Drosophila melanogaster: one gene and its partner. The protein of the gene in region 1 interacts with the protein of each later gene in a pairwise test. Each region holds a gene or a part of one and is shown in the gene's direction. Other genes may lie near its edges. The genes, in order: sisA and dpn.

The links.
Region 2: the proteins of sisA (region 1) and dpn interact in a two-hybrid assay, tested with the Drosophila melanogaster proteins (one study listed by BioGRID).

Annotation. Positions count from the first base shown.
Region 1 is NC_004354.4:11,320,922-11,324,083, reverse strand, and holds sisA (sisterless A), read left to right. Parts: upstream 1-1,726; 5' UTR 1,727-1,793; coding exon 1,794-2,363; 3' UTR 2,364-2,505; downstream 2,506-3,162. UniProt on the Drosophila melanogaster protein: Involved in sex determination and dosage compensation. Required for proper expression of Sxl in embryonic somatic cells. Also has an essential function in the yolk nuclei. Involved in endoderm migration and midgut formation.
Region 2 is NT_033778.4:8,228,434-8,234,361, reverse strand, and holds dpn (deadpan), read left to right. Parts: upstream 1-2,031; 5' UTR 2,032-2,313; coding exon 2,314-2,439; intron 2,440-2,667; coding exon 2,668-2,763; intron 2,764-2,773; exon of another isoform or gene 2,774-3,258; intron 3,259-3,296; exon of another isoform or gene 3,297-3,859; coding exon 3,860-4,945; 3' UTR 4,946-5,391; downstream 5,392-5,928. Other genes in the region: CG34217 (uncharacterized protein), read left to right, coding at 5,747-5,928. UniProt on the Drosophila melanogaster protein: Transcriptional repressor of genes that require a bHLH protein for their transcription.

The DNA of each region.
Region 1 (3,162 bases):
ACATAATTCAAACTCAATGTCGTTTTCGGGGATGTGGCGGAGTCTCCTTCATGTGCGTCCATTTATCGTCGCCTTGCTCCTCGATTTTCAGTACTCTTTCTAAGGGTATAGTGTTTCTTTATTGTCCGAAAATGGAAGCCCTAGTTCAACATTTGAGTATATAGAAATAAGAGTATATACATATTTCCTTGAGTCATCCAATTCAGCTAGAGTATTCCGGCCATCGGCATTCCCAACTTATTCTCAAGCTGAAAACTGTCAGGCTTCAAGTGTTCCTGCGGGGTTTGGTTTGGTTTTGGGTGGCCAATTGGGATTTGGTCGAAAATGATTATAAATGGTTTTTTAATTATACTTGTCTGCATATTTTCTCATTTGCCAAACAAACGCGGCGCTGTCGATTTTATTGTTCACATGGCAAATGGTTAATGCCGAATGGAAAATGGTAAAATGCGAAAAATGGAAAAATTATTGCCCGTCTGCCGCTGACAGCTTGCCCCCATCTGGCTGAAATGGGGGATTTCGAATTAAAACTGCTTTCGGTCACTAAAAATACTCAATTGTTTTGCCAATTACCCAGCGGAGTTATTTATGCCAGTTATGTAATTCGAGTGGCACACATGTGCAGCGTTGTAAATTGAAATACATGAAAATGGAGCAAGTGGAAAGTATATTTTGGGTACTTGCAGTGTTATAACATTTTACTGCTTTTTGTTCAACAATTAATTGGTTATTTAATTAGCATAAGTTGCTGCTTGCGTCATATTGTTCTATAATATTGCTAGTTAAATATTACATTACATCAGCCAGAGATAGCAACTATTTATGGATTTTGAGTTTGGTCCACCAAACTCTATTACATATTATTCTCAGCCAAAGGGATTTCTGGTTTAACCCTTTGAGGCCTGCTAAGCAGGTCGCTGAACCCCTCATCGTTTCGAGGGCTGTTAAATTAATTAATAGACTAAATGCGGTCGGTTCGGCTGGTTAATCCCACGACAACAAGCCGCAACTTGTTTGCCACCACGTCGAAAGTGGCTCCTTGAAATGGCTACCTGATGCGGGAAACCCACTTCCAGATGGGTTGATCCGGAATGGACAAATAGCAACTTTAGCAGGTAGCAATGGCAATCGATATTGGTGTCTCTTATCGCATAATGCCGCCTGATCCCACCCGCTTGACATGCTCGTATTTGCCCAAGCAGGTTGATTTTCCACATAGCCCAACATTTGTTGACTCATTTCGGCTGCTAGATAAGGCGCGAATCGGCAAATGGATGGTGATAGACGAACAGCCCAGCTTGACCTTGGGATTATTGTGGATTTAATGACGCCCTTATCAGTTGCATTGAATCGTATCTCTTGGCTTAGAATATCTTTTATATTATGGGGAGTATTTGCATACCGACATACATATGTATGTAGGTAGCCATTGAAGAAACCCACATATTGGTTCGCACCTGATCCTTTTGTTTTTAAATTTGACCAATTATCAGGTAGACTCAGTGCGTCTGCTACCCTAATCCCTTTGTTTACATATCTGCGATTCGTTGGCCAATCCGGATGCAGGTAGGCGGTGTCCAGCAAGGCGACAAGATTGAGGAAAACAAGATCATAAATCCCAGTGACCGCCATTCATGAAGGTAGAACCCGCGAATAACCCATCCAGTGTCCAATGGCAAGCTACCTGCGGAAATGGTATAAAACGGGGCTGACATATTGCCTAAGGCAGCATTAGCACACGAAATCTCGACGAGAGCAGTCACAGACCACGTCACACATCGAAAAAAATCACCATGGAACGGAGTCATCTTTACTTGCCCACTCTGAGCTACGCGGCCATGGGTCACGTATACGCACCGTATCGCGGAAGCAGTTCACCCGCACTATCGACAGCATCGTCAACATCATCGAAGCCGGAGCAGATCGAGGAGCTGGTGTCCCAGCAGCTGCATCATCTCAAAATGCACTACGCCGACGAGGAGCAACGCTACGTAGACCAGATGCTCCTGGAGAATCCCATTGTTGTGGAGCGCCGTGCACCGCCGCCGCTGAAAACGGAGCTTGCTATGGATTGCCGCGGATCGGGTTCCGGATCAGGTTCCGGTTCTGGTTCGGATGTCAAGGATGCCCAGCGTCAGAGGGCCGAGTCGTGCCGCAAATCCCGCTACAACAACAAGATCAAGAAGGCCAAGCTGCGCTTCCGGCACAAATTCGTCAGCGGGCAGCTGAAGAAGAGCGCCGTCATGTTGGACACGATGCGGGATGTGATTGCCCAGGCGGAGAGGCAGCTGCTCGAGCGGGGATATCCCGCCGCCACACTCGAGCGGATGCGGGCCACTTTCGGCCTGGAAATGGAGCAGTGATATCATAGTGTAGCTATGTGTCGCAGGAACGGATCCCTGACTAGTCCAGCATTAGCCATACCACTTTTTTTTTTTGTTGACTATATCTAGTATTTATCTAAGCATATTATTAAATTTTTAAATAAAATTAAGAATCATATTGAAAACGAATGCTTTCTTATTCAAATATTTGTTATAGGTTCACACGATCATATGGAGTCAAGGATAACTTGTTAATTTCACTTTACAAGAATTTCCCATAATTTGGATGCATTTATTCTGCATTTAACGCATCGGCAGTCTTGGGGTTTCCTTCGCCTGGCCGAAGGTAATCCCATCGGAATTGGGCCAATGCAATGCACCCATTTCGACTTGCTTAAGTTCAGTTCATTTGATCCGACATGATTGCACTTCGCTTTCCCCGTTTCACGTTTTTCCCCCTTTCCATTCTTTTTTTCCCTTTTTTTTTTTGGCTTGCGAACAATTTGCGTTGCCAAAAGCAGCAAATGCAATGGAAGTAATGGCCTTAAGAGCAGGTTTCTGTAAGAGATTGTGGCTAAATTTAGTGGGGCTACTACTGCAAATAGCACCCCACTTTCTGGTTGGTGTTTTCATTTAAGAACTGCGAACTGAACTTGGAAGCTTTACTAAATGCTTGCCAAGGGTATATACTATGTATATATATATACAATATAATTTTAATAACTACATATATTTTTTAAGTAATTTCTCATAATATCTTGATGTCTGCGTAATGAGAAGGATAAATATAGATACTTCTGATTGTTTTTTACCCCAAAAAGTTATTCTATTTCACGCC
Region 2 (5,928 bases), on another chromosome or scaffold:
CCCTGGGCCGGGAATAAGAAAAAAAAGGAAAGAAAGAAAGAGGAGAAGCCACAGCAGCAGCGGCGTTTGGGGCTGATATTGAACTTTGATTTCTGACTGGTTTCTTCGTTATAGAATTTCAATTCTCAGTTTCTGAAGAAGCTCTGCAGACTCTGCACGTTTCGCCAGACGATTGATCCACATATGTCGGATGGTTCTGAGGTTTCTTCTCCCTGGCCCATGGCACTTTTACATTTTGCCAGCTCATCGTGCTTATTTCGGGTTTCGTGGGAAAATGTTTGCCAAATTTGCGGCGTTCAAAGGAGCCAAAGTGATCGCCATTAAGCAGGGTGATGTGCTCATCAGTGCAGAATTCAGCCGAACCCCATGGTTTAGTTGCTGTGGATGTTTTAGTTGGTCAATCGTAGCCGTGGCATTTATTCAATTTACGAAAGTTGACATCGGATCAGTGCTGCAGAGCTTGTGCATGATGGATGATCGCCACAGATTATTGCTCAACACGGGATTTACGCTCAGGCCGCGAGGGATCACTTTGCACAACCAGGGTTGCCAGGCGGCGCAATACGTTTACGATCCCACCCAAAACTCCCCAAATCGGTCCATAGGTAGATCTACGTCAGCTGTCAGCTGGCGCATGGCCCGCGTCAGTGGTTATTGACAACTCCTTTGGTCGTAATCCTGCCAACATCGTAAAGTAATAAATTTGCCTGAAAAAGGAAAATCTGCCGGGGATCGACTATAAAAATTGGCCCAGCCAGGTAAGCTCCGTAATGATTGACCCCGACCCTCAGTCCCAGACCCACGACCGATCCAGGTCCGATTCCGATCCATTGCAAGTCGCGATTCCGTCCCGAAACCCAAGCAACCCCCTAAGACGCTTCTGCCGATGAGCCGACCAGGCAAAAGCGAAGAATTTGAAACTAAGGATTTCGCCTTGCAAGGGGGTTGGGTTGTCACGGGGGTTGCGGCAGCTGCGCCGAACAATTGCCAAGGAGTTCTCCTTAATGAATTGCAAATCATTCGCCGGGCATTGATCAAGTTTGTCCTTGCCAAGGGTGAAATCTGTGCGACTAAATGTGCCATCAGCCAGCCACCCAAAAGGGAAACGGACACAAACGGAACATCTGTCGCAAATAATGCTACTCACTGATAACTTATAGAAAATCTCACTTGATACATTTTTTAAGGAACTAAAGATTTTTTGCTTTGCTTTAGCAAATTTCAAGTACTAAAGAAGAATCGCTGTTAATTCTCTGAATATAGTTCATATTTTTGTTAACTATTGCTTTAATCAATTCATTAAAAGTAATAAGCAAGTAAAAAGTAAAAAAAAGTAAAGTAATAATATTCATAAGATTTATAGTAGCTTTGTATAATTATTGCTAAATATATGAATATTCTAAAACAAATAGATTGGGTATTAAGTCGGCTTCGACACGAATTAGAAGATTAAATTCAGTTATAAATTTTTGTTAAATTGTAATAAACTTTAAATTCATTAATGATATGTTATTGATTTTAATGCTTAATTTCCTTCAAAATTATTTAATATACAATGCTTGCTGTATTTTACAATAAAATCAACTAAATTTTGTGGGTTTCGTCAAGCCAAAGGCTAATGACTTGGCTTAACCGAATGTTGTGTTGTTTCTCGATCAGGCTCGACTTAGTCTCGTTTACTTGAGTTAAGCTCCTATTTTCACTAATCCCCTGGAATCCGCAATTCGTTGACTCGGCAACTCTGCCTGCCTGGGAATACCTACTCAAATACTCACTTAAATCTCACTCCGAGTGTGAACTCATTGGATTTGGGGTGGTTATGCACTCACTCACTCTCCGATTGAGCGCAACTGCGCTGCTGCGGTGAAAAGTTCTCAGTCTGCGGACGGCGATCGTTGGGCTGCCTACCTGCCTCAGCTCTGCCTCTGCCGCTGCCCGCGTCGCCAGGTAAGAGAGTCCCTCGGTTTCACTCGTGGACTCGTTTCGGCTTCGACCCGATTCGTTTTTAGCTGGTGCCCGTGGACTCGGAGGATCAGTATCCTTTTGGCATCTCGCGAGCGCGGTCGTCTGCCGCTCTCCTTTGAATGAACATTTAAAATACTATTCTATACGATTCGATAACCAGAACGATCTTTAACGCGTACCGCTTGTTAAGTTTTTGTTGTTCGGACATTACTAAGAAGTACGTGCAATAATTGTTATAACTATTTTCGTACTCGAACCAAAGTTATTGTGTTGTGAAAAAGACCAAATCGAAATCGAACTATCTTGGATTATCTCCCACTTGGATATACAAATTAAAATCGTTACAAAATGGATTACAAAAACGATATTAATTCCGACGACGATTTCGACTGCTCCAACGGCTATAGCGACAGCTATGGCTCCAATGGACGCATGTCCAATCCCAATGGATTGTCAAAAGCAGAACTTAGAAAGGTGAGTTCGCTCTTTTGCGATGAAATTGGACTCGCAAACTAAAAAATAGCAGAGTTTATTAGCACCCTCGATCGTTTTGAACCTTTTCATTTTAATGGCTTAGAAAATGTAAAGCATTAAATTAATTTTAAAAATCAAGTGAAACCCTTGTTTTATATAAACAAAGATATCCCTTAAACTGAAATAAATTCCTACGAAATAAACTAATTGATTCCCTTTCTTTTCTAGACCAACAAACCGATTATGGAGAAACGTCGCCGAGCTCGCATTAATCACTGCCTCAACGAACTGAAGTCCCTTATCCTGGAGGCGATGAAAAAAGACGTAAGTATCTTGCCCGAGCGTCAAAGCAGAAAAGGAGCGGTCCGCCCGCGAATTAGAAACTAGCCCCCGATCCCTTTTGGTTCACTTTCTTATAAATAATGTTAGTCCACAAAAAAAAACCTTTAAGGCACAAGTGTCCGAAGGGCGGCAGAACTACAAAAGAACAAAAAAATGTATAAAAAACGAACTCCTACGACACAAGAACTGAAAAAAAAAACACAAACCAAGGGCTCTAATTGAGTATTAAATTTTATTGATGATCATTACACTAGAGCGCCGACGAGGAGTCAGTCAAGAGACCAAAAAGTGTTAACAAGTCGAGGAATTACGCAGAAATCGCCGGAGATGCGAACGAAACCAGTTTCCAAGGAGTGATCCTGCTGTGAGAAACTACAAAGCAGAAATCAAGTAAAATTTGCCGCCGCAGAATTCTGCAGGAGAGCCGGACCAAAAATCAAATAAGAAAGACATTGAGGGAAAAAAGCAAAAGTAAACAAAAGGTTCAGACAGGGGAGCGGGGGAGGTTGAGGGGGCGGGGCTGGCGAGCGACCTGCGTGGGAACCTTTTGCTAAAATATGCAGTCCCAGCGGCGAGAAAGGGACGAACAATCGGGGACCGAAGACTGGCGAAGATCGCACTGCGCGAAAAAAGAAGATCAGGAAGAACGATTTGGAATCTTCTGTGCCCAAAAAGTCTTCATATGAGATCACAAACGATAAGATCGGCGAGTAGTTTATTTTAGAACCACTTACTAAAGACAGTCACTTTTCCATCATTAGTATTCACTTGCCAGAAAATTTGACTTTAAGCCCCCTTTTTGCTCAGTGCACAGTAGCAAGATCAGTCGTTCTTCTCGCTGGAGTTGCTGAATCTCACCTTGGTCGTGTGATATTTACAGAGTGGACTCGACTGAAGTGGACTGCAGATTACACGCGAATAGTTGGACATATGAGGCACGAAACGTGCTTCTTAACTTCGCTTTTTCCCAAGCTATTGAACTTGTTGTAGGGCCCCAAACAATTAGCCCGACCATCTCCCACCCCATCCCCATTTCATCATTATCTGACTTTGGTTCCTTCGTCTTCTATACTTTTAGCCGGCTCGTCATACCAAACTGGAGAAGGCCGACATACTTGAGATGACGGTGAAGCATCTGCAGTCGGTGCAGCGCCAGCAGCTCAACATGGCCATCCAATCGGATCCCAGCGTTGTCCAGAAGTTCAAGACGGGATTCGTTGAGTGCGCGGAGGAGGTGAACCGCTATGTAAGCCAAATGGATGGCATCGATACCGGTGTTCGTCAGCGGCTCAGCGCCCATCTTAACCAGTGTGCCAATAGTCTGGAGCAGATCGGTTCGATGAGCAACTTCAGCAATGGATACCGTGGTGGCTTGTTTCCCGCCACAGCTGTCACGGCTGCTCCCACTCCGCTGTTTCCCTCGTTGCCGCAGGACTTGAACAACAACAGCCGCACGGAGTCATCGGCTCCGGCCATCCAAATGGGTGGACTTCAGCTAATTCCCTCCCGCCTGCCCTCGGGAGAGTTTGCCCTCATCATGCCGAACACAGGTTCCGCTGCTCCGCCTCCGGGACCCTTTGCCTGGCCAGGATCTGCAGCGGGAGTCGCAGCTGGAACAGCCAGTGCCGCCTTGGCCAGCATTGCCAATCCCACACATCTAAATGACTATACACAGAGCTTCAGGATGAGCGCGTTCAGCAAACCGGTCAATACCTCAGTTCCGGCCAATCTTCCGGAAAACCTCATCCACACACTGCCCGGCCAAACGCAGCTGCCGGTGAAGAACAGCACAAGCCCACCGCTGAGCCCAATCTCCTCCATCTCCAGCCACTGCGAGGAGTCCCGGGCTGCCTCGCCCACCGTGGATGTGATGAGCAAGCACAGTTTCGCCGGCGTCTTCTCAACTCCGCCACCAACCAGCGCGGAGACCTCCTTCAACACCAGCGGATCCCTCAACTTGAGTGCCGGAAGCCACGACAGCAGCGGATGCTCGCGACCGCTGGCCCACTTGCAGCAACAGCAAGTGAGCTCCACCAGCGGAATCGCCAAGCGCGACAGGGAGGCGGAGGCCGAGTCCAGCGACTGCTCCCTGGACGAGCCCTCGTCCAAGAAATTCCTAGCTGGCGCCATCGAAAAGTCGAGCTCCGCTTGGAGGCCGTGGTAGATCAACCGCACAGGCCACTTCTATGTTACGTTTATACATTGTTAATTTATTTCATTGCAATTTTTTCAAAGATCACTTCAATGCTTTAGAACCCCATTAAGTTTCAACGATTTCTATATGTTTTTATGTATCCCCGTTTCGCTTTCTTCATTTTAAGTTCAGCTGTGATTTTGTATATTTTTTGTGTAGTTCTCGTTTAAGCGCTTTATACGACTATTATGTAGTTCATTAAATAATTATGTTCTTTAATGTTTCATTAACTGCTCAAGTATTTAAACAATTAAACGTGTTTCTATTTAAGTTATGTAGTTTTCATTGTATAGCGTTTATCATTAGGTCATTCACGTTTCTATATTAGTGTTTTAATTTAACGATTGTAATTTTAACTTTTAGGTAATGCAAAATTCGATGGAGTGAAAATAATGATAATAAAAAAAAAATGCTGCAAAAGAAAAATCCATCCAAATTTAATGGTTCCTTGGTTCTTAACTGATTAGAATTGGAAAATTCAAGATCGCATCAACAATCAATAGTACTTGAACTCATTGAAAAGTCGGAAGCTGAATTCAAATCAATACGGAAACAGCCTTATCATGTATGTTCGATGTTTTCGCAAAGTTTGATTGAAAAGATAACTCAATCGAAAGCTCCCAATCCATGCTATATAAGCAATAGGCGGAACACATTTAGTGTGTCAAAAACTAAATTATTGCAATCAAGAGCGCGCAGTGACTTTCAGGCGTGCATTGAAAAATCTCAGAAATTATAAAAACAATTTAATTGAAAAATTTTAATTTTACCATGCCAGGAAATCTGTTTCAAGTGTTACTAACTGTGGCGATCCTGCCAGCTATTAGTTTGGCATCTAGTTCTGAAGATGGTCTGCACCATTACCGTGCTTCTCCAAAGCTCACGGGTCCTGTGAAGCTCCTACACGATCCCGAGGACACCATTCTGAACACCTTGGATGGCGCTCTGGAGAA